Astyanax mexicanus: one gene and its partner. The protein of the gene in region 2 interacts with the protein of the main gene of each other region in a pairwise test. Links are inferred from orthologs where the notes say so. Each region holds a gene or a part of one and is shown on either strand. Other genes may lie near its edges.

Evidence for each region.
Region 1: the proteins of nmt2 (region 2) and acbd6 interact in binary tests that used the Homo sapiens proteins (3 or more experiments, as listed by UniProt). The link is inferred for Astyanax mexicanus from reciprocal best matches to the Homo sapiens genes NMT2 and ACBD6.

What each region holds. Positions count from the first base shown.
Region 1 is NC_064419.1:9,252,138-9,262,623, forward strand, and holds the start of acbd6 (acyl-CoA-binding domain-containing protein 6), read left to right. Parts: upstream 1-5,858; 5' UTR 5,859-6,009; coding exon 6,010-6,150; intron 6,151-7,282; coding exon 7,283-7,347; intron 7,348-7,951; coding exon 7,952-8,048; intron 8,049-10,486. Other genes in the region: xpr1a (xenotropic and polytropic retrovirus receptor 1a), read right to left, coding at 2,302-2,370. UniProt on the Homo sapiens protein: Binds long-chain acyl-coenzyme A molecules with a strong preference for unsaturated C18:1-CoA, lower affinity for unsaturated C20:4-CoA, and very weak affinity for saturated C16:0-CoA. Does not bind fatty acids. Plays a role in protein N-myristoylation.
Region 2 is NC_064408.1:111,973,603-111,984,373, reverse strand, and holds the start of nmt2 (glycylpeptide N-tetradecanoyltransferase 2), read right to left. Parts: upstream 4,667-10,771; 5' UTR 4,622-4,666; coding exon 4,512-4,621; intron 1-4,511. Other genes in the region: protein FAM171A1, read right to left, coding at 10,214-10,771.

The DNA.
Region 1 (10,486 bases), on a different chromosome or scaffold from region 2:
ATATTTTATACTGTTTAATATAGATATAAATTCATGACTCAAACTAATTAAATAGAGATTTTAAAAATTATACGTATTACATGAATTTTCTCCACTTACTGAAGCATGCTTCTCTATAATAACATTATGTTTCAATTATAACAAAGCACATAAGTAATATATGAGGGATATATCTTTTCTGAATGATATAGAAATTAATAAATAAAGAAAAAAATATTGTAAAAGCTTAATATAAAGAAACAAAAATATTTTAAATTCAATTCTAAAAGTAAATATAGAACAATTTATAAACTTGAAAAATAAAAATTGAATTTTCTAGTCAAATTTTCTAGCCGTCCCTGAATCTACAGGCTGTAATCAGTGTGTGTGTGTGTGTGTGTGTGTGTTCATATATAAGACAAATGAATTCAGTGTGGAGGGGAATTCTGACAGATGGGTGCTGGTTCTGTCCCACTGGGAGCGTGAGAGATAAAGACTGATTTAGGAGGAGGTCCGGGGCCGAACAAGGCGAAGACAAAGAGCCGCATGATCCCACACACACTCACACACACACGCACACACACACACACACACACACACACACACACACACACACACACACACACAAACACTTCCAGTGACCACCATTGACATGTATAAGAATGATAGCTTGGCCGGGGGGTGGGTTGGGGGAGTGTGGACGAGCGTTTATACAGGTTAATCACTTGTTATTGCAAAAGCCCATTATGTTTTACATCTGCACCAGAACTATCCCTCACCATGCTTAGTTCTACTGAAGATCAAAGAGCTACTTCTGATTCTCCATCACTCATGACAAGAAGAACATCAGGATCACCAAGAATAATCCAAAATAAATAAAAAAAAATCCAGAATGAATCAGAATAATCCATTACAAATAAAACAACCCAGAATTTATCTGACGAATACACAATATTTCAGAAATAATGCAAAATATATCATAAATAATTAATGAGAATAATCTAATAAATCTAAATCTAAATAATCCACCACAAAATAAACCCGACTAAGTAAGAACAATTAAGAGGCACCTGCAAACAGTCCGAATATATCAAGAGAAATCAAAATAATCTGGAAAAAAAGAAAAGAAATAATCTAAGGCAGGCAAAATAAACCCAGAAAACAACTAAGGAAAAGTCAAAACTGACATGAAAGCCACATAGTATGCAAAATTCACACAAAGATGTGTTAAAATATGTCAAATTAAGACAGCATATGTCCAAGCAAGTCAGTTTAAAACAGGGTGAAGCTAAAAAAATGTCAGTATAATCCAGAATAAAACAAAACATGACTCTTATAAATTAAAATATTATTACTTAGTTTTGATAATAATGCTATGCAATATTAAAACTGGAATGATCTGAAATAAATCAGACTATTGCCCATCATCTGGAATAAATCTGAACAGGTTGGGATAAATCTGAACAGGTTGGAATCCATCTGAACAGGTTGGAATAATCTGGAATACATCTGAACAGGTTGGAATAATCTGGAATAAATCTGAACAGGTTGGAATATCCTATAATAAATCTGAACAGTTTGGAATAATCTGGAATAAATCTGAACAGGTTGGAATAATCTGGAATAAATCTGAACAGGTTGCAATAATCTGGAATAAATCTGAACAGGTCGGAATAATCTTTAATAAATCGAAACAGGTTGGAATAAGCAGGAATATATATGAACACGCTGAAATAATCAGGAATAAATCTAAACAGATCGGAATAATCTGGAATAAAATTGAACAGGCTGAAATAATCTGGAATAAATCTAAACAGGTGGGAATAATCTGGAATAAAATTGCACAGGCCAAAATAATCTACAATAAATCTGAACATGGCAAAATATTCCAGAATAAATCTGAACAGGTTGGAATAATCTGGAATAAATATGAACAGGGCAGAATAATCCCAGAATCAATATGAACAGGTTGGAATAATCTGGAATACATCTGAACAGGTTGGAATAATCTGGAATAAATCTGAACAGATTGAATAATCTGGAATAAATTTGAACAGAACAGAATAATCTGGAAAAAAATCTGAACAGAACAGAATAATCTGGAATAAATTTAAACAGAACAGAATAATCTGGAATAAATCTGAACAGGACAGAATAATCTGGAATAAATCTAAACAGGTTGGAAAACTGACTTTAATTCAAGAATAATTCAGGTCCAAAGTTCACGGTCATGCTGTTACACTTTATACACTCTCTGACCTCACTGACCCCTGAGTGTGTGTGAGTGTGTGTGAGTGAGTGTGTGTGAGTGTGTGTGTGTACCTCATACTGGATGTACTGTTTCCTCCACTCGGGGGTGATGTGGGCTGAAAGGTGCTCAGCGAACTTCATCCTGAAGATCCGATCACTCCCTCACCCCCCGCACACTCTCTCACCCCTCAACACACTCCACACACACTAAAGCTCCGGGATAATCTCTGCCGTGTGTTTGTCCGCGCGCTTATCACGCTGTCAGAGGCATATCCGCGAGCCCGAGTAAACAAACTCAGTCCGAGAGAAAGAGAGAGAGGGAGAGTTACACAGACTGAAAGAGAGAGAGTCTGACTGAAGAACTGCGACTGAATCTGCTGTAACCCACTCACTGCCCCGCCCTCCTCAACAGGCCCCGCCCCCTCTCTCATTCTGCCCCTCCCTCCTCCCCTGCGGCGTACACCGGCCTGCGTCATGACGCACAGACGCGCTGCCGTTTATTTAAATTTAACATAGCACCAAATATAGCAAAAAATAAATAAATACAGATAAAAAATAAAAATAAATAAAATAAAATAATAATAATAATATGTTAAAATGTTACAGCTACTTCATAACATGAAAAAATAATTAATTAAATATTCTACAACTATTACAAATTACTACTATTAATTTAAAAAATAAAAAAATAAAACTACTACTATACAGTGAACTTGCCTACATTATTAGTATTGAATTTTAAAAAAGGTTGATTTAATTACTATTACTACTAAAATATTAATAACAGTTTAATACATATGTTGTATTTCACAGATTTCACAGCTGAGGCTGTCACAAAGCACGCATAGGAAAAATTATAATATACCAAAAATTAATAACAAGGACAACAATAATAAAGAAAATAAAAAAAACAATTCATAATTGATTAAACCATCAACTACTCAATTACTATGACTATTACAACCTTACACATATACTACTACAACTACTACTACTACTTCTATTACAACAGCTACAACTAAAACCATAACAACTACTATTACAACTACTACTTCTACTACTATTGCTACTACTGCTACTACTATTGCTAATTATATTACTACACCTACTACTGCTGCAACAACTACAAATACTACTAGCACTACAGCAGCCTGGTTCATTCTGAGAACTCTTTTTTATGCCACTGATAAAAATGGTAAACATATAATGATACAATTAATTCAAATAGCAATTAACTTGTAATTATTGGCATACATATTTGTACACTGTAATTAAAACAAATATCGTAATAAGTAGGTGCTTAAAAATTGTAAGTAAATAAGACATAAGCAAAATTATTTAATTTATGTTAATAGGCTCTCATGCCTAAAAAGGATGCTGAGGTTAGCAAAACCATTGAAGTCATGTGGATATATTATATAATAATGGGATGAGTTATATTTGTGAGAGTGTGAGACAATCCAGTAGCAACATCAGTCTCCATCATTAGTCAGACAGGACCGGATAAAATCAGCCGAACCTGAAATCCTTGAAAGAGTAACACTCAGTATCTACAATGAATTATTCAGAAGTTATTCAGTATGAAATATGTCTTTAATTTATTTATTAACACGCTCCTGAAAGCACTGTGTTAAACATAGGGATAAAAGAAAGGTTGGAAAATAGTCGTGTGAGTTTTTTCCTCTGAAGAAGCAAACAGTCAGCACTCTGTGTGTGTAAAACGCACGGACACAGCGCCACCCTGCGGGCTCAGCCAGTAATGCAACTTTATTATTCAACATAAATAAACACTGTACTAATTTATGGGCAAACAAAATATTAAATATAATTAATGTTTTTCTTGTGGTAATTAAAGTAAACAAAACAAGCAGCAAAAAAGCAGCAAATGTTGTTCAGCACCTCCAGGAACACCTTTAAGACACTGAGAAAACTATTCCAGGTAGTTTTCACCTAGAGTGTGCAGATCTGTACTCAAAGATAAATGTGATGCTTAAAATAATCTAAAATATAAAACATAATTTGGTTTGTTTAACACTTTTTAATTCACAAAAACTGAACTGTATAACTTTATAATGTAAAACATCACTATTTTTAAATAACTACAATTAAAAATAATTCATCCTTTATTTTATAAAATTCCAAACTATGTAAATCTTGGGAACATAAAAATAAAGCTCGGCTTTGATTGGTTAGAAGCTCGTCCCAGAATGACGCATACAGGTAAAAATGCATAAAATGCTTTCTTTATATGACAGAGTTTAAACAAACAAACAAACAAACAAACAAAATAGATAGACATTAGAAGATATTAGATATTAGAATAACAGATAATTGAAGAAAAAAATAGAAAAATAAAGCTCGCCCCTGATTGGTCAGAAGCTCGTGGTCTTCGAGAGCTTGCTCCTCTCTGATTGGCCCAGGTCATGCTCGCTGCGAAACAGCACGCGCTGTGTTTAATAAAACTCAGATTTAAGTTATCCAGAGAATCAGTAAAGCCGGATTAATCAGACCGAACTCGAACTCTGTATTCATTCTGTAATCCCGCTCCACCGTTCAGTCCGGGTCAATCCGGAGCATTTACAGCGCCGGACCTGCCCGGACCAATAGGAACCCACTTTTATTTACGCCTGTTTTCCGCCATCTGCAAATCCTGACCTCTTACTGAGTGGCTACTTCGAATAAAATATATATTATAATAACATTAATTACAATATTAAACAAACAACATTAAAATATATATTTTTGTTGGTTTAAGTAGTTATAGATGTTACAGTAAACAATGCAACATAGAGTAAATTATATAATAATTATACTACTACTTACTACTTATTATTTTAATGCTGGTGTGTAAAACAACCAACATAACGTAAAATAAATAAATATGATTAATCCATTTTTTCTGTATATAATTCTATTAATCTCAAAATGGGTTACATAATTATAGAAATAGATTATAACTCAGCATATTTACATTCACTAAATTACATAAAATAAAAAACAGCTCAAATTGATATCATAACAACCACAATCCTATAAATAATCGTGAGTAAAATGCAGAGAAAATAGCGAATAATGAATCAGAAAATACATTAAATAATTCTGTAAATTGTGCAGCAACGTTTCTATTAAAATTAGCACTCTAATACATATTTATTAGGTAACGCATCAAACATCTAATAAATAAATATGATAAACAATCCTTTTTTTATTTTCTTTAAATTGTCCTATTAATCCTATGTTGATGTCAATATGAATAATTCATGACAATTTCTGATATATTTAGTGTAATAGATTATAACTAAGCATAAAGTTTAGTAAACACAAATAAAAATCCAGCCCACAGTTCACACCATAATCACACAATACTGTAAATAATCGAGTATAATGCAGACACAAATCCAGATAATGATTAATTATAAAATACTAAATAATACTAAATAACCCTTTCAAAGGAGCATTAAATAATAAAATACAAACTACATTTGAATGATTCGTGAACTATGTATAGTTCAGTAAATAATGGAGTCAAAATGTTAGTTCTGCAGATTTTACAGTGAACCAGCCAATCAGAACACAGCGGGGCACAATACGGGTGGGGATCTGAGGAGGCCCCGCCCCCGTGACCCGGATGTTGTGTGTGTGAGCGGTGTGTGTGAAGCTGAATGCTGTAGATCAGCAGGTTTATCCCGCAGCGTCGCTGTTTTTACTGTTATTAATAATAATAATTCGCGTATTAGTGCTGCTCCTCTCTGTATCATTACTCTTATTAATAATCCCGCCATGGCCTCGCGCTCGTCCTCGCCGGACTCTGACGGTTCGGAGCTTCAGGAGGAATTCGAGAGTGCAGCGGACCGGGTCAGAGAACTGGTCCAAACAGCACCCAGAGACAAGCTGCTCTACCTGTACGCCAGGTACAAACAGGTGAGAGGAGGGGGAGGGGCTTCTGATTATCCTCATATTAACAACCACATCTGGACACTTTAATAGAAACGTCCCTACCGTGTGCTTACACTTACTGGCCACTTTATTAGAAACACCTATCTGCTTTTACTGACTGGCCACTGTATTAGAAACACCTACTTACTATCTTGTGCTTCCACTCACTGGCCACTTTATGAGAAACACCTACTTACTATCTTGTGCTTCCACTCACTGGCCACTTTATTAGAAACATCTACTTATTACCCTGTGCCTCCACTCACTGGCCACTTTATTAGAAACACCTACTTATTACCTTGTGCTTTCACTTACTGACCCATTTATTAAAAACACCTACTGTACCTTGTGCACCTCTGTGGCCACTTTATTAGAAACACCTACCTGCTTCCACTGACTGGCCACTTTATTAGAAACACCTACTTACTTTTAATGACTGGCCACTTTATTAGAAACACCTACCGGCTCCCACTGACTGGCCACTTTATTAGAAACACCTACTTGCTTTCACTCACTGGCCATTTTATTAGAAAACACCTACCTGCTTCCACTGACTGGCCACTTTATTAGAAACAACTACTTATTTTCAATGACTGGCCACTTTATTAGAAACACCTACTTGCTTCCCCTTACTAGCCACTTTACTAGAAACACCTGCTTGCTTTCACTGACTGGCCACTTTATTAGAAACACCTGCTTGCTTCCACTGACTGGCCACTTTATTAGAAACACGTACCTGCTTCCACTGACTGGCCACTTTACTAGAAACACCTACTTGCTTTCACTTACTGGCCACTTTACTAGAAACACCTACTTGCTTCCACTGACTGGCCACTTTATTAGAAACACCTACTTGCTTTCACTCACTGGCCATTTTTATTAGAAACACCTACTTATTACCTTGTGCCTCCACTCACTGGCCACTTTATAAGACACCCACCTGCTTCCACTCACTGGCCACTTTATTAGAAACACCTACCTGCTTTCACTCACTGGCCATTTTTGTTAGAAACAGTGTATTTCTACTGTAATAACATTTAATAAGAGTAGTACGCTGTAATATAATGCTGTATAATGTTTATTTGTTCTTATAATGTTTATGCTGTTTATTCACCAGGCTAAAGTTGGAAAGTGTGACACACCCAAACCAGGATTCTTCGATTTCGAGGGTCAGAGAAAATGGTGAGTCTCAGCATGTTTACAGACAGTTGATTTAGACAGATAATAATAAATAAATAAACTGCATTACCCTTGTGGTATATTTAGTCACAGTTAATAACATGTTTAATATCTGTCAAGTTTTCTTTGTATTTGCATTTAACTAAATTATACATTAGAAGCATTAAAGAAAAACAGAGATTGTGAGGTGAAGGCGTGTGTTGTGCTGTTATATGAGTCGATCATACACAGCAGTGCTGCTGTAGGTTTTAAACGACTCACCACCCAAATAATAATAATAATAATAATAATAATAATAATAATAATAGCTGCTCTGAGTTGTTTTTCTCTCCTGTGGGGTCTTGAGTATTATGGAACAGGATAAAAGGAGGATAATAATAATAAAGTATGCAGAGAACAGATACAGATCTACAGTCTGTAATTTTAGAACTACACAGTGTCCTATACAGTCAAATGAATAATGTGTATAAAAACTAGTCATCATTTTATGATGTTATTGATCAGTGTGTATATAACTGTTACATCAGAACACAGATTATTTTTGGTCCTCTGTATGATATTATAATGCTAAGAGGTGTGTGTGTGTGTATGTGTGTGTGTTCTGCAGGACGGCGTGGAAGGATCTGGGGGATATGAGTAAAGAACAGGCTATGCAAGAATATGTGTCGTGTGTAAATGAGCTGGATCCAGAAGGGAGCGCTAAGGTACTTTTAAACCCCGCCCTTTCATACAGCACCACTCACACACCTGTCCTGCTCTTAAATGTTGTATATTTTGATAAAAGGAAATAATTTCAGTTGCTGCAGTCAGTATTGACTGCATGTGACCAGCAGATGGCAGTGTCTGACTGTTAGAATCCCTAAGCAACGTTTCCCTTCATTCAGCAAATGTTTTTTTTTTTTTTGATGACCTATGTTCAACACTATTATTAAAAATCAAATAACAGGTGTATTCAGTGGGATCAGTTCTATAAAATGTGTAAATTCCAGTAAGATCATTATTGAACTAAGGGAACTAAATGCTTTTGTATTACCAGTGCTGAACTTTCAAACCTGTTCAGACCTGTGTAGACCTCTGAACTAAACCAAATCATGTTGAATCAGTACTGAACTGACGTCAACTGAATCATTTTGGATCCGTGCTGGATTGAAATTAACTGAATTATATCCAGTAGGATTACTGCTAAACTGAGGAGGATTGAATCATTGCACCGAAGTGAGCTGTATCATTTTGGATCAGCATTAAATTGAATCATATCCAGTAGGATCGGTGCTGAACTTTTAAACCTGTTCAGACCTGTTTAGACCTCTGAACTGAAACAGATCATGTTGGATCAGTATTAAAGTGAAGGTGAACTGAATTGTATCTAGTAGTATCAGATCTAAATTGAAGAGAACTTAATCGTATCATGTAGGATCAGTACTAAACTGAACTGTATCAGTATTGAACTGAAGTAAACTGAATCATTTTAAATCAGTACTGAACTAAAGTGGACTGATTTTGAATGATGATCTGATCTGATCTGAGTCTTGTTGGATCAGCTGAATCGTATGAAACTGAATCTGAATCAAGTCAGACCAGTATTAAACTGAAGTGAACTGAATCAAATTCCAAAGGATCAGCACTAATCTGCACTAATTTAAAATAAATTGTCTCGATTCCAGTAGGATTAATATTAAAATGAAATGAACAGAATATTTTTGAATCAGTACTGGACTGTAGAAAACTGAATAGTGTCAAATCAGTATAGACCTGAAGTAAACTGTTTTTTGTTGGTTCAGTATTAACTTATAGTGAACTGAATCATGTCAGATCAGTATTAAACTGAAGTGAACTAAAGCTTTTTGGATCAGTATTAAACTGAAGTGAACTGAACCTTTTTGAATCAGTATTGAACTGAAGTGAACTGAACCTTTTTGGATCAGTATTATACTGAAGTGAACTAAATCTTTTTGGATCAGTATTAAACTGAAGTGAACTGAACCTTTTTGGATCAGTATTAAACTGAAGTGAACTGAACCTTTTTGAATCAGTATTGAACTGAAGTGAACTGAACCTTTTTGGATCAGTATTAAACTGAAGTGAACTAAATCTTTTTGGATCAGTATTAAACTGAAGTGAACGGAACCTTTTTGGATCAGTACTGAACTAAAGTGAACTAAATGTTTTTGGATCAGTATTAAACTGAAGTGAACTGAATCTTTTTGGATCAGTACTGAACTAAAGTGAACTAAATGTTTTTGGATCAGTATTAAACTGAAGTGAACTGAATCTTTTTGGATCAGTATTGAATTGAAGTGAACTAAAGCTTTTTGGATTAGTATTAAACTGAAGTGAACTGAATCTTTTTGGATCAGTATTGAATTGAAGTGAACTAAAGCTTTTTGGATTAGTATTAAACTGAAGTGAACTGAATCTTGTTGCATTAGTATTAAATTGAAGTGAACTGAACCTTTTTGGATCCGTATTAAACTGAGGTGAACTAAATCTTTTTGGATCAGTATTGAACTGAAGTGAACTGAATCTTTTTGGATCAGTATGAGCTGAAGTGAATTGAATCTTCTTGTATATGGCAAATTGTTTACCATGTATTAAACAACTTTATCATAAAATAACAACCCTAGCTTGTCTTAGCGTCCTTCTGTTTGAAGAAAGGGGAGGAAAAATATATCTAGTTTTAGATATGGTGGTTTTTAAAAGCGTGGAGCTGCTGTGTTTCTGCAGTGATGTGTTTTGCTTCTGTCTGATGAAAAACTGAAAGCTTTATGGCCAGGCTGTCACACAGTGTCAAAACTCAGTCAGAACTGCGTAATGGAGTCAGTCCAGCTGCTGCTTCAGCAGAACCGCAACCCCCCCAATCAAACCCCCACAGCCTTTTGTGTGTTTAGCTAAAAACCCCAGAACTGATTCAGCCATTAGAGAGAGAGAGAGAGAGAGCTCTTTGCTCGCCCACCTTTCTCTCCCTACTTGTTCACTCTTTTCTCTCTCGTTCTCTCTCTGTCAGAGCTTATTTAGTCTGTCTGTTCATCTAACAGTGCTCACCGAGTGATCATTTTAGTGCGTTTTAACAAAAGACAGATGCTGTCTTTACACCAGAGAGAGAGAGAGAGAAAAGAAAAGAAAGATAGGAAAAATTAAAGAA
Region 2 (10,771 bases):
CAGGGTCTCAGAATTGTAGTTTTAACTGTAGTGACTGTAAACATGTCTGTACATGGAAGGTCTGTGCAATACTGAGATGACGATGCTAAAATAATATACTGTACAGCCATAGTACTAAGTATTGAAAAGTATTTGGATAGCCATTTAAAAAAAACAGCAGTTTCTGGTTCATTTTGTCTGCCTGATAAATTATTGGGATAAAAATTGTGTATTGTCAAAGTAAGATTGAATGTTTTTTTATCTTTTCAAACTGACCAGGCATCAGTTGGAACAAAAGTTGCACACATATTGTGTATCATGAACATTTAGAAGTTCTGCAATATTATATTTTTTGCCATATTGCCCACCTTTAGTAACTCACAACATTGTTACAATCTCCCAAAAACATGTTATATATCAACTTTCTGATTCAACACAAAGCTACATTTCAAAATACTGTCAATGTGCATAGGACCAAACAGACAATGTTGTGGCAACAAGAACAGCCTAAAGGTAGTAGCTACGGTTTACGCTGCCTTAAAAAATAATATTCACAATTTTCCCAACCTTCACAACAGGGTCACAACATTTTCTTTAATTAACCCACCACTCAAACGTTGTGACAAGTGCTTTCTAACAACTTTGTCAAAAGGTGGTGCTGTTTGTTGTCTCAAAATTGTTATCAAATCATTGTCATGACCTCCTGGCTTGCTGTTAGGTAGAGAACATTTTCACAACTTTTTGACTTACTGATTAGTTACATTTTACACACTGTTGGACAAAAAGTAAAAATATACCCCCTTACATTACTTTCACAAATTAGTAGTTTTAAAACCAGTATTTTTACACTATTACTTGAGTATAAAGCTTGAGTTGATACTACTGAAGGTTTTTTTAAACCCTAGTATCTATACTTATACCTGAATAATGAATGTCAATACTCAATATGTGGCTGTCCTAGCATTGCCACAAAGTTGTCAAAAAAGCCACAGTGCTGTCAACATTAGGTTGTCACATTGTTGTCAGAAGGTGGTAGATACTGTTTACAGCATGATTTTAAAGACAGCGTAAACAGTATCTACCACCTTCTGACAACAATGTGACAAACTTTTGTTTAACTAATAACCTTTTAAAAGTTTTGACAATGCAGCAGTAGTTTCTCACAACATTTTCTGCTTTTAACCTTATGGCATGCTTTCACACAGCCGGTGGTTAACAGTGGCAAAGTGTTCTCTTTTATCACCTTTCAAACATTGCGACAACACAGCAATAGGTTGTCACAACGTTGTCTAATTTCTTACAATGTTGTCAAAATTGGTGCTGTTTGTTATTAAAATGTTGTCAAAAACTTCTGGCATGCTGTTAACTAGCTAGATTAGGTTTTAATTTATTGACTTTCTAATTAATTATGCTGTTAGATAACAAAACAAAAGGTTGTCACAATGTTGTCCAAATGTGGTGCTGTTTGTTGACTGAAAACTGTTATTAAAAGGTTGTCATGCCCTCCTCGCATGAAGTCAGATAAGGTTTTCACAACTTGTTGACTTAGTAACTAATTACATTTTACACGTTTTGAAAACGTAGAGGGCACCAAACCTCAGGCTGTCCTAGCGTTGTCCTAGTGTTTTCAAAAACACCTGCCAGAATGCGATCAGATAAAAAAACAATAGGTTGTCACAACGTTGTTAAAAGGTGGTGCTGTTTATTGTCTCAAAACGTTGGGGCAACTTAGAGCGCACCAAACAACAGGCTGTCCCAGCGTTGAGACAACACAGCAATAGGTTGTCGCGACGTTTTATGCTTTTCTTGCAACGTTGTCAAAACGTGGTGCTGTTTGTTGTCTCAAAACTGTCATTAAAACGTTGTCACGACCTTCTGACATGCTGTCAGATAATGTTTTCTCAAGTTTCTGCTTAATTAGCTGCATGTACACGTTGTGGGAACGTAGAGAGCACCAAACAACAGGCTGTCCCAGCGTTGTCAAGACGTTGCCGTGTTTGTTTGTTAGCTAATTAGCTAGCTAACATCATTTCAATAACCGGCCTGTCATCAGCTAGCTCGTTAGCTTGCTGGCTAATCTTACCGGCTACACAGAAACGTTAGGTTTTCTAGCTTACTAGCTTTAGTAGATTAGTGCTGGTTTGGTGACCACCGTCAGTAAACGTCTGCTATTTAACCCAACTTTAGGCGTTAAATAACAGCCCTGATTAAAAATGCGCAGTTAATTTACACAAGAAAATGCCTATTAGCTGATTTAACATCACAGCCAGCCTGAAAACAGAGCCCTGCCTCCCATTCAAACCAGCTTTAGCCACTGAGCTTTAGCCGCTATCAGTGAGAAAACCGATATATAACCGCAGCACAGGAACGATTTCAGAATTGTTTTAGTGCTCAGCTGTAAATCCGAGCCCTGCCAAACCCAGATTTCTCACTTAAACCACAGAACAACCCGCCGACATCCACAAACCGCTTATTGTTGACAGCTAGCTAAGCTAAGCTAACCTAGCTAACAGAGCTAAGCTAATGCTAGTTAGTTAGCTAGCAAACACGGCTAGCCGCGGTGCAGAGAGACTCTGTACAGAGGAGAACACCCACTTAACTTAACCCCTTAACAGGCTAGCATTTTTGTCAATTTTCTGCCTGATATTACACACCAAAATCTTTTTCTATTTATGAACTACATAAAAAAGATTTCATGTTTAATGATAAACGTTGCTGCAAATTCTAATTGTAATCGTAATAGAAATTATCTTAAAAATGTAAGTAAATCTGCAACTTAAAAAATATAATGACTAACAATCATAAAATTGGCTCTTTACTAGGGGCGGGCGATATGGCTCTAAAATAATATCACAATATTTCAGGGTATTTTTGAGATAATGATAAAGGATAACTAAAATAATTCATTTCATTTCAGGAATATAGTATAATACTATAACAGAATAATCATAATGTGGCAAAATAAATAATATAGCATAAAATAATATAATGCAGCAAAAAATATTGCAGAATATTTAGTGCATGCATATAAACTGCAAACTTAAACAATTTTACAATAAATAAACCTAAAGCTTCACAGTAAATAATAGACAGAACAGCCCTATTATCACAATATGGATTTTTAATATCATGATATTTCTGTGCCACGATATATTGTATACGATATAATATTGCCCACCCCTACTCTTTACTGAACTTCAATACAAATCAGAGATTTATTTCTTCCAAACCTTTCGTTTTGTTACGGTTGTCTAGTTTTTACGTCTATTTTCAAACATGCAGAATTTGGGTTGATTCCTGTTACTGATCTGAAATTATGTTACTGATCTGGAATTATTAAGTGGAGTAGAGAGCGAACAGGCAGCTTCTCCAAGTGTCCAGAGGAAATTTCAACCCCCTCAAAGTTTTCAGAATGTTAATGACCTATTTTACTGCAGAAAAAAGGGTTTTGTATCACCTACACTTGTAGCCTGTTATCCCTGAGGTTAACTTAACCTCTCTAGGGTTTGTTTCAACAATATAATAAAAAAAATGTAAGAATGCTGTTTTCTGACTGTAATGCACAGAAAAGAAGACTAATATTCTACTATAAAATTCACATAGAAAATTTTAACCAATTAAGTATTTTTTTTTATTTCTATTGCATTGTGAGCCTACGTGTAATATTTTGTATTTTATATTGAACGTTTTATTTCATAAACCATCCCTAAACAGTAAAAAAAAAAAAAAAAAAAAAAAAAACTTCAAATTTCATTGTTGACTAATCATTAATTTGTAACGTTACTGCATTACACAAAGTGCTGGGGACAGAATTGTAATGGGAGATGGGTAAAAGGCTCACTCACACAGTTTACACTTAACTTGTCTGTATGTCCAAAAATGCCCAAACACAACAGATTCCATATTTATTCACAAAATATTAGCACTTTTACTATGTTAAAACAACATATAAACATAAAAGGCTTTTAAATCTCATGTTTCTATCATTTTTAGAGATGGAGGACATGGCAGAAATAATCGTGGACTAATCGACTAATCAAAAAAATAATCATTAGATTAGTCGACTACCAAAATAATCATTAGTTGCAGCCCTAATATAAAATGCCTTTTAAACTCAGGGATGAAACTGTTAACTCTAGGTTAATCAGCCAAACAGCTCACAGTAGCAGTAACGCTAGCGCCTTTACTGCCTAAAACCAGCTTACTGTAGGAAATATAAAAGATACAGGTACGTTATCTTTGCTTCGTTAGCGAAATACTTAATTATAATTTCCAAAACTAAACGAATATCCCTGACAATTAGTTGATTACAATTTTAAAGAAGAGTTTTTAGCCGATTAGCTCCATTCACCCCCGTTCATTATGGGCTCCCTCGCGGACGCCCCCTACTGGTCAGCAGTGATTTCTCTGCTATAACAGCGTGTAGGCTCGCCATAAACCGGCTGTGGCCGCGGTGCTAAGCAGGCGCTGTGAGACCCATCAGATTAAAGGGCATTTTTAGGAGTTTTCTGCGGATTTCGGACGCTGCTCACCCCTGCATGTGCTCATTCTCCTCCTCGTTGTCTCCGTCGATGCCGCAGGTGTCCTGGTCGTCCAGCTCCAGGCTCTGCTGGCTGGCCGCAGACTCGCTGTCCTCCGCCATCGCCGGGGTAGAGAGGCGCTCTGACCCGCTAGCTTAGCCTGCGAGCTAACCTGATCACTGCACTGAGAGACAGCGGGGGAAACAGCGCCCTCTACACACAGAGCTCCAACACTGCACCCTCCTTCTTAGGCCTGTTCCTATACAGTGCTGAAAAAATTAACTGACCTCTTCAGTTTCTGAATCAGTTTCTCTGATTTAGTTATTTATAGGTTTATGTTTGAGTAAAATGAACATTGTTGTTTTATTCTATAAATTACAGACAGCATTCATCCCAAATTCCAAGTAAAATATTGTCATTTACAGCATTTATTTGCAGTAACTATGAAATGGCTGAAATAACAAAAAGATGCAGAGCTTTCAGACCTCAAACAATGCAAAGAAAACAAGTTCATATTCATAAAGTTTTAAGAGTTTAGAAATCAATATTTAATGGAATAATTCAGATTTTTAATCACAGTTTTCATGCATCTTGGCATGTTCTCCTCCACCAGTCTTACACACTGCTTTTGGATAACTTTATGCCACTCCTGGTGCAAAAATTCAAGCAGTTCAGCTTTGTTTGTTGGTTTGTGATCATCCATCTTCCTCTTGATTATATTCCAGAGGTTTTTAATTTGGTAAAAATCAAAGAGACTTATAATTTTTAAGTGGTCTCTTATTTTATTTCCAGAGCTGTAAGTGCTTCCACTGCTGACACATGACAGGTGCATCTAAAAAAAGAATATAATTAAAAAGGTAAGCTATTTCAGTAATTCAGTTCAAAATCTGAAACTTACATATTATATAGATGTATTTCTCACAGAGTGATCTATTTTAAGCGTTCATTTATTTTATTGTTAGTAATTATGGCTTACATCTCAGAAAATTTGAATATGATTAAAGACTAATTGGTACTTTTGACAGTGTACCAAGTCCTGCTGAAAAATGCAATCTGCATCTCCATAAAAGTTGTCAGCAGAGGGAAGCATGAAGTGCTGTAAGATTTCCCAGGAAAACCCTGCCCTGACTTTGGATTAGATACAGCTCTGGAAAAAAAATAAGAGACCACTTAAAAATAATTAGTTACTTTGATTTTACCAAATAAAAAAACCTCTGGAATATAATCAAGAGGAAGATAGATCCAAAAGCAGTGTGTAAGACTGGTGGAGGAGAACATGCCAAGATGCATGAAAACTGTGATTAAAAACCAGGGTTATTCCACCGAATTATGATTTCTGAACTCTTAAAACTATGAATATGAACTTGTTTTCTTTGCGTTATTTGAGGAATTAAATAATAGAAAAATATGAGAAGAATGGCATTTTTCTTTACTGATCAACACTTTTGTGTTTATTTTTATCCTTGAGCTCGAAGGGGTCAATAAAACTCTCTGATCTCTGTTCACTCGAAATAATTCTGTTCCGCTGTCCAGCTTTGTTCATCTTCAAGCAGTGGAGGAGTACAGGCAGAACATCACTCTCTCCTGCACCAAGACCTGCATCACCACATTTACAGTGGTGTGAAAAGTATTTGCTCCCCTAGAGCTTTCTTTTTTTTTTTTTTTTTGCTTTTTTGTCGTACAAATATTTTTCTGATTATTAAACAATCTTTAATAGCAAATATAACCCGAGTACATATATAAAGCACTTTTTAAACAATTGTATTTATTAAACAAAAAAACTATCCAAACCAATCCTATCCAACCTAGCCCTGTGTGGAAAAATGCCCGTAAAACTATTAACTTGTTTGTTCTATTCTTGGCAAAAACTGCAATCAAGCTTAATTCAGACACATTGGAGGATTTTCGAGGATGAACAGCCTGTTTAAGATCATCCACACCATCTCAATCAGACTTTAACTAGGTCACTCCAAAACCTTCATTTAGTTTTTTTTTTAAACTATTTAGAGGTGAACTTGTTTGTGTGCTTTGGGTAATTGTCCTGCTGCAGAACCCAATAATGCCTGAGCTTGAGGTCATGAACAGACCCTGAAGCAGCAAAACATGCCCAGACCATCACACTAGCACCACCATGTTTTACGTTCAGTATGATGTGTTTGATGTTCGTTGTGGATGATTTTCAGTGTGATGTTTAGATTCTTTAGTTCACTGATGGTTGTGGATAGTAAATAAATTGGCTATATTTCACATTGTGTCCTAGGGTTCCTAGTTGGGAAGTTTCTCAATAACCAAACCTGTCTGAAATACTTCATTTACATCACAACCATTAAACTGAACTGGTAAATTAATGTAATCCAAACACTATGTGGCATTTCACTGTCGGTGCTAAATCCTGGTTATATGGTCACGAACAGAGCATTAAAATAAAAAAAAATAAAAAACACAACTACAGATTTTTTTGTATGTTTTATTGGATAATTAAGCCTTAATTATAATACAAGCAAGCAGTCAGAGCATTCAGAGTAGACTGATGAAGAGTGCTGTACAGTACTGACTCAAGAGTGGTTCTCTCACAGTTAGAAACGCCATCAAACACAACTTTCATATTCGTACAGTCTCATATACAGTCTCATTTGCTTAGACAGCCGCTACATCTGCAGCAGGTGTAGCACGTCCACAAAAAACACACAAACACTCCCAAACCTGATCAAACACAGCCAGAAAAGTACACTCATATAAAGACATATACAATACAGCATACACATCTCTCTTTCTCTCACTCTCTCTTTCAGACACACAGCGACAGTAATCAGGGGCTAAAAACAATAGTGGGCAGCTTTCCATGTGGGGATCAAGCCTAGTCTCAGACTACAGAGCAATTTAAACTGAACTTTTACATTAAAAGGAAATTACGATGTACAGCAAGGCTTAATCCCCATCAGGAAAACTATCTCTACATGTCTTTAATGGTCAGATGGAAGTGAGATCTGATGAGATCCAATCTGATAAGTGATGGTGGTGAAATGGACACATCAGCTTGAGGCACTTCTGACAGAAACAGCTGTTTTTGGGATGTAAAAGAATGTACGGCTGCGTGTGTATGATGTATTCATTCTTAAATAAAGGCAAATCCGAGCAATGAGTTAAAAACAACTTGGTTTGCTGGATAAAACATTCACTAAAATATTGCATTTTAAACCACAGAGCAGTGAATAAAATGGGGAAAAAGGCATATTGAGCTTTCAAATTGTCAGTATTTACGCAATGCATAGCTGTGGCACTGTGGTGAGCATTATGGGCCTGCATGTGTGAAGCACATCCGCAAGTTCACAAATGTAACAGTACGACAACACTGAGAATCTGTCCGCTTGAGAATTGTCAAATAATACAGAAAAGATTGTGCAGCATCTGCATCATTTGCTAAACTGTAAGATACTTTTCCCTCCACTATATATATATATATATATATATATATATATATATATATATATATATATATATATATATATATATAAAGTTGGATTACCGTTATCTGCTCTAGAGTGTCTTCAGTACATCACTATGAGTAGTGGACAACTTGTGTGACGTCTGTAAGAGCAATGGGTGCAACTTGAAGTAGCTGAATGCGTTCATTAGTGTCCACAAATAGTTGGATTTAGAGTGTATAGAGGGTAATACAATAAGTATTGTCAATTTCTTTGATTTACTGTTCGTATTCAGAATTTATAAATATGTAAATGTTTTTTAAATGATAGAAAGTTGCTTTATTACTTTATTTTCTCCTTCAAATTATATGGCTCTAGATCTGGATCAATCACAAACTCTGAGTAAGTGTTAAATTTATATTCTAATGCATTAAACAAATAAACACCAACGAAATTGAGACACTAAGACCCTGTTTTCACCTGGCCACTTTAGGCATCTTGAGTATCAGGATTTTATCCGTATAATGCTAACTCTTTTTAAGGTTTTAACACATCAAGATTGCATAACAGATACAAAGCTGATCACTTAATGCATATGGTTAATATCTCATCAGAATACAATCCAGATACAAAAATCACATGAAATAAGCAGGGGTGAATAGGGTCTTGCACAAAACAGAACAGACCAGAGCAGAGCAGATTCCATGGAAGACCGTTCATTAAATACATAACACAAGAGTTAAAAGCTGGGGAGTAAAGAACGGGAAAGGCTGCACACACTTACAATTCTCCTACTGCAGTGCCCATATGCTGCCAACCACACCATTGCATTGTATTGCTCACATTAACTACATCAGAAATTCATAAAGCTATACTTGGTCTTACAACTGGTCTTTTTTGCTCAGTTCATTTACAAAAATAATAAAAGGCATAGCTGTTGTGCATAAATGTGTTCAAAAGGAGTGCTTTTTTGCTTTTGAAGTTCAGTTCATACATACATAAGCATCCTGGGTAAGTTCCTGGATTGTGAACTTTGAAGCGCTGCTTAGAGTCAGTTCTGTATCAGTTCGAGTCTCAGCGCTTCTGCTTTTGGAAGTACAAAAAATATATATAGGCAAACCCAAAGCTTGTATTTAATGTGATAGTGTGGCAAAAATTCATATTCACACACTTTTCCCGCTCATCCCAAACTGTCAGTTAGTCAAGATATCTTTAGTGTCTGTAATTTCTTTTCTGTAGTTTCTAAATCAACAGTTAGTTTGCTAGCATTGTGCAGATCATATACCTTAATCAGTGATCACCAACACATCTTAATTTTAAGTCCAATCCTAACACTAACCCACCCCTCACCAGACCAATCTGGTTATTTCCCAATTAGCTAAATGAAGTGCATTAGATTTGGACTGAAAGTAAAACCTGTGGGAAGGTGGATCTTCAGGGTGAAGGCTGGTAATCACTGGCTTTAAACAGCCCTTCACTTGCCTCCAACAGAATCGTGCTGTTAAACTACTAAAAAAGACATCCTGGCAAGTGAAATCATCTTAAATGAAGTTCAATATCTCCAATATTCCTCATTATGATTGTTGTAAGCAGGCATAGGCAGATATAAATATGTCTCAGACAAAATGAAAAATTAGCATTTAATGGTGGCCAAAATATAACACTTTGTGACTATAAGCATTGGGCAATTGGCAATGATGGCCCTGCATGTAAGAACATAAATTATATATTTTTAAATGTATTTTTTTTTATTAGCACATGATCTGCTAAAACAAGAAAAATAACAAGTAAACTAACAGTCAAACCCTCTTACAACAACCTCAAAATAAGAAATACTGGACATATTGACCATATTAGTCACTATGTAGCCCTTAAGCCACTGTATGACAGTGGAGGGACTAAAATGGGTTAAATTTTTTGCTTTTATCCCTGTGTATTGTAAGTTGGACTGCTGCAAAAATGTAGACCATCTTGACCTGTAATATATCCTATAACATTGTAACAATCTGAACCCACATAATGCTGATTTAACTTGCTAACAAAGAACATCCTGGGTCTGCTGTGGAGTCCGATTAGGAAAATAGCAGAACTGGGACTTTATTATATATGCTCAAGAACAAAATGAATAAAGAAATTTTGGCTAATTCAGTGGGATATTTTTTGGAACTCATTATATGTGGGATGAAGAAAAATAATTTGCATATGTTTTAACTTTGCCAAACTATCACTTTAAAGGCAATTCCTGTCATTTGAACACGACCAAAATTGCTGAGTTTAATGCCTGGGGGGTCATTTCATAAAGGATAGCAGGGGTCGCTCCTCGCGCCTCTGCCAAGGGCTCTTTTTATTTTCGTCCTCACCGTTGTCATCAGGGGCAGCAAGGTCGTTCTTGTGTTCAGTTCTGAGGATCAGCTCTTCGTCTCCTCTCTCCTCCAGCTCCTCTACCTCCTCCACCATGGGCTCAGGGAGGGGAGGAGGTGAGGGCAGCGGAGGAGAAGGCAGCAATGGGGTTGGCGATGAAAGTGTTAAAGTCTCTTCTTGTGATTCGGGTCCTGCGCTCTCAGATAGCAAGAGGTTGAGCGAGTTTTCCTCTGGACTGCAAACTGGAGTGGGGATGACTTTGGCATTAGCGTTAGCATTATCATTAGCATCATCATTAGTTTTAGAACTCTCCACAAACACCAGCTGTGTGTATTCCAAAGTGGGCAATGTAGGCCGGGCTCGTTCTTGACCTCTGCCCTTGCGGCCTGGCGTGAGATCGCTCATGTCTACGCCCGAGTCCAGGCTAGCGTCGTTGCTCCCTGCAACACTAGCATTGTGGCTTGCCTTCTGCAGATCAATGTAAGA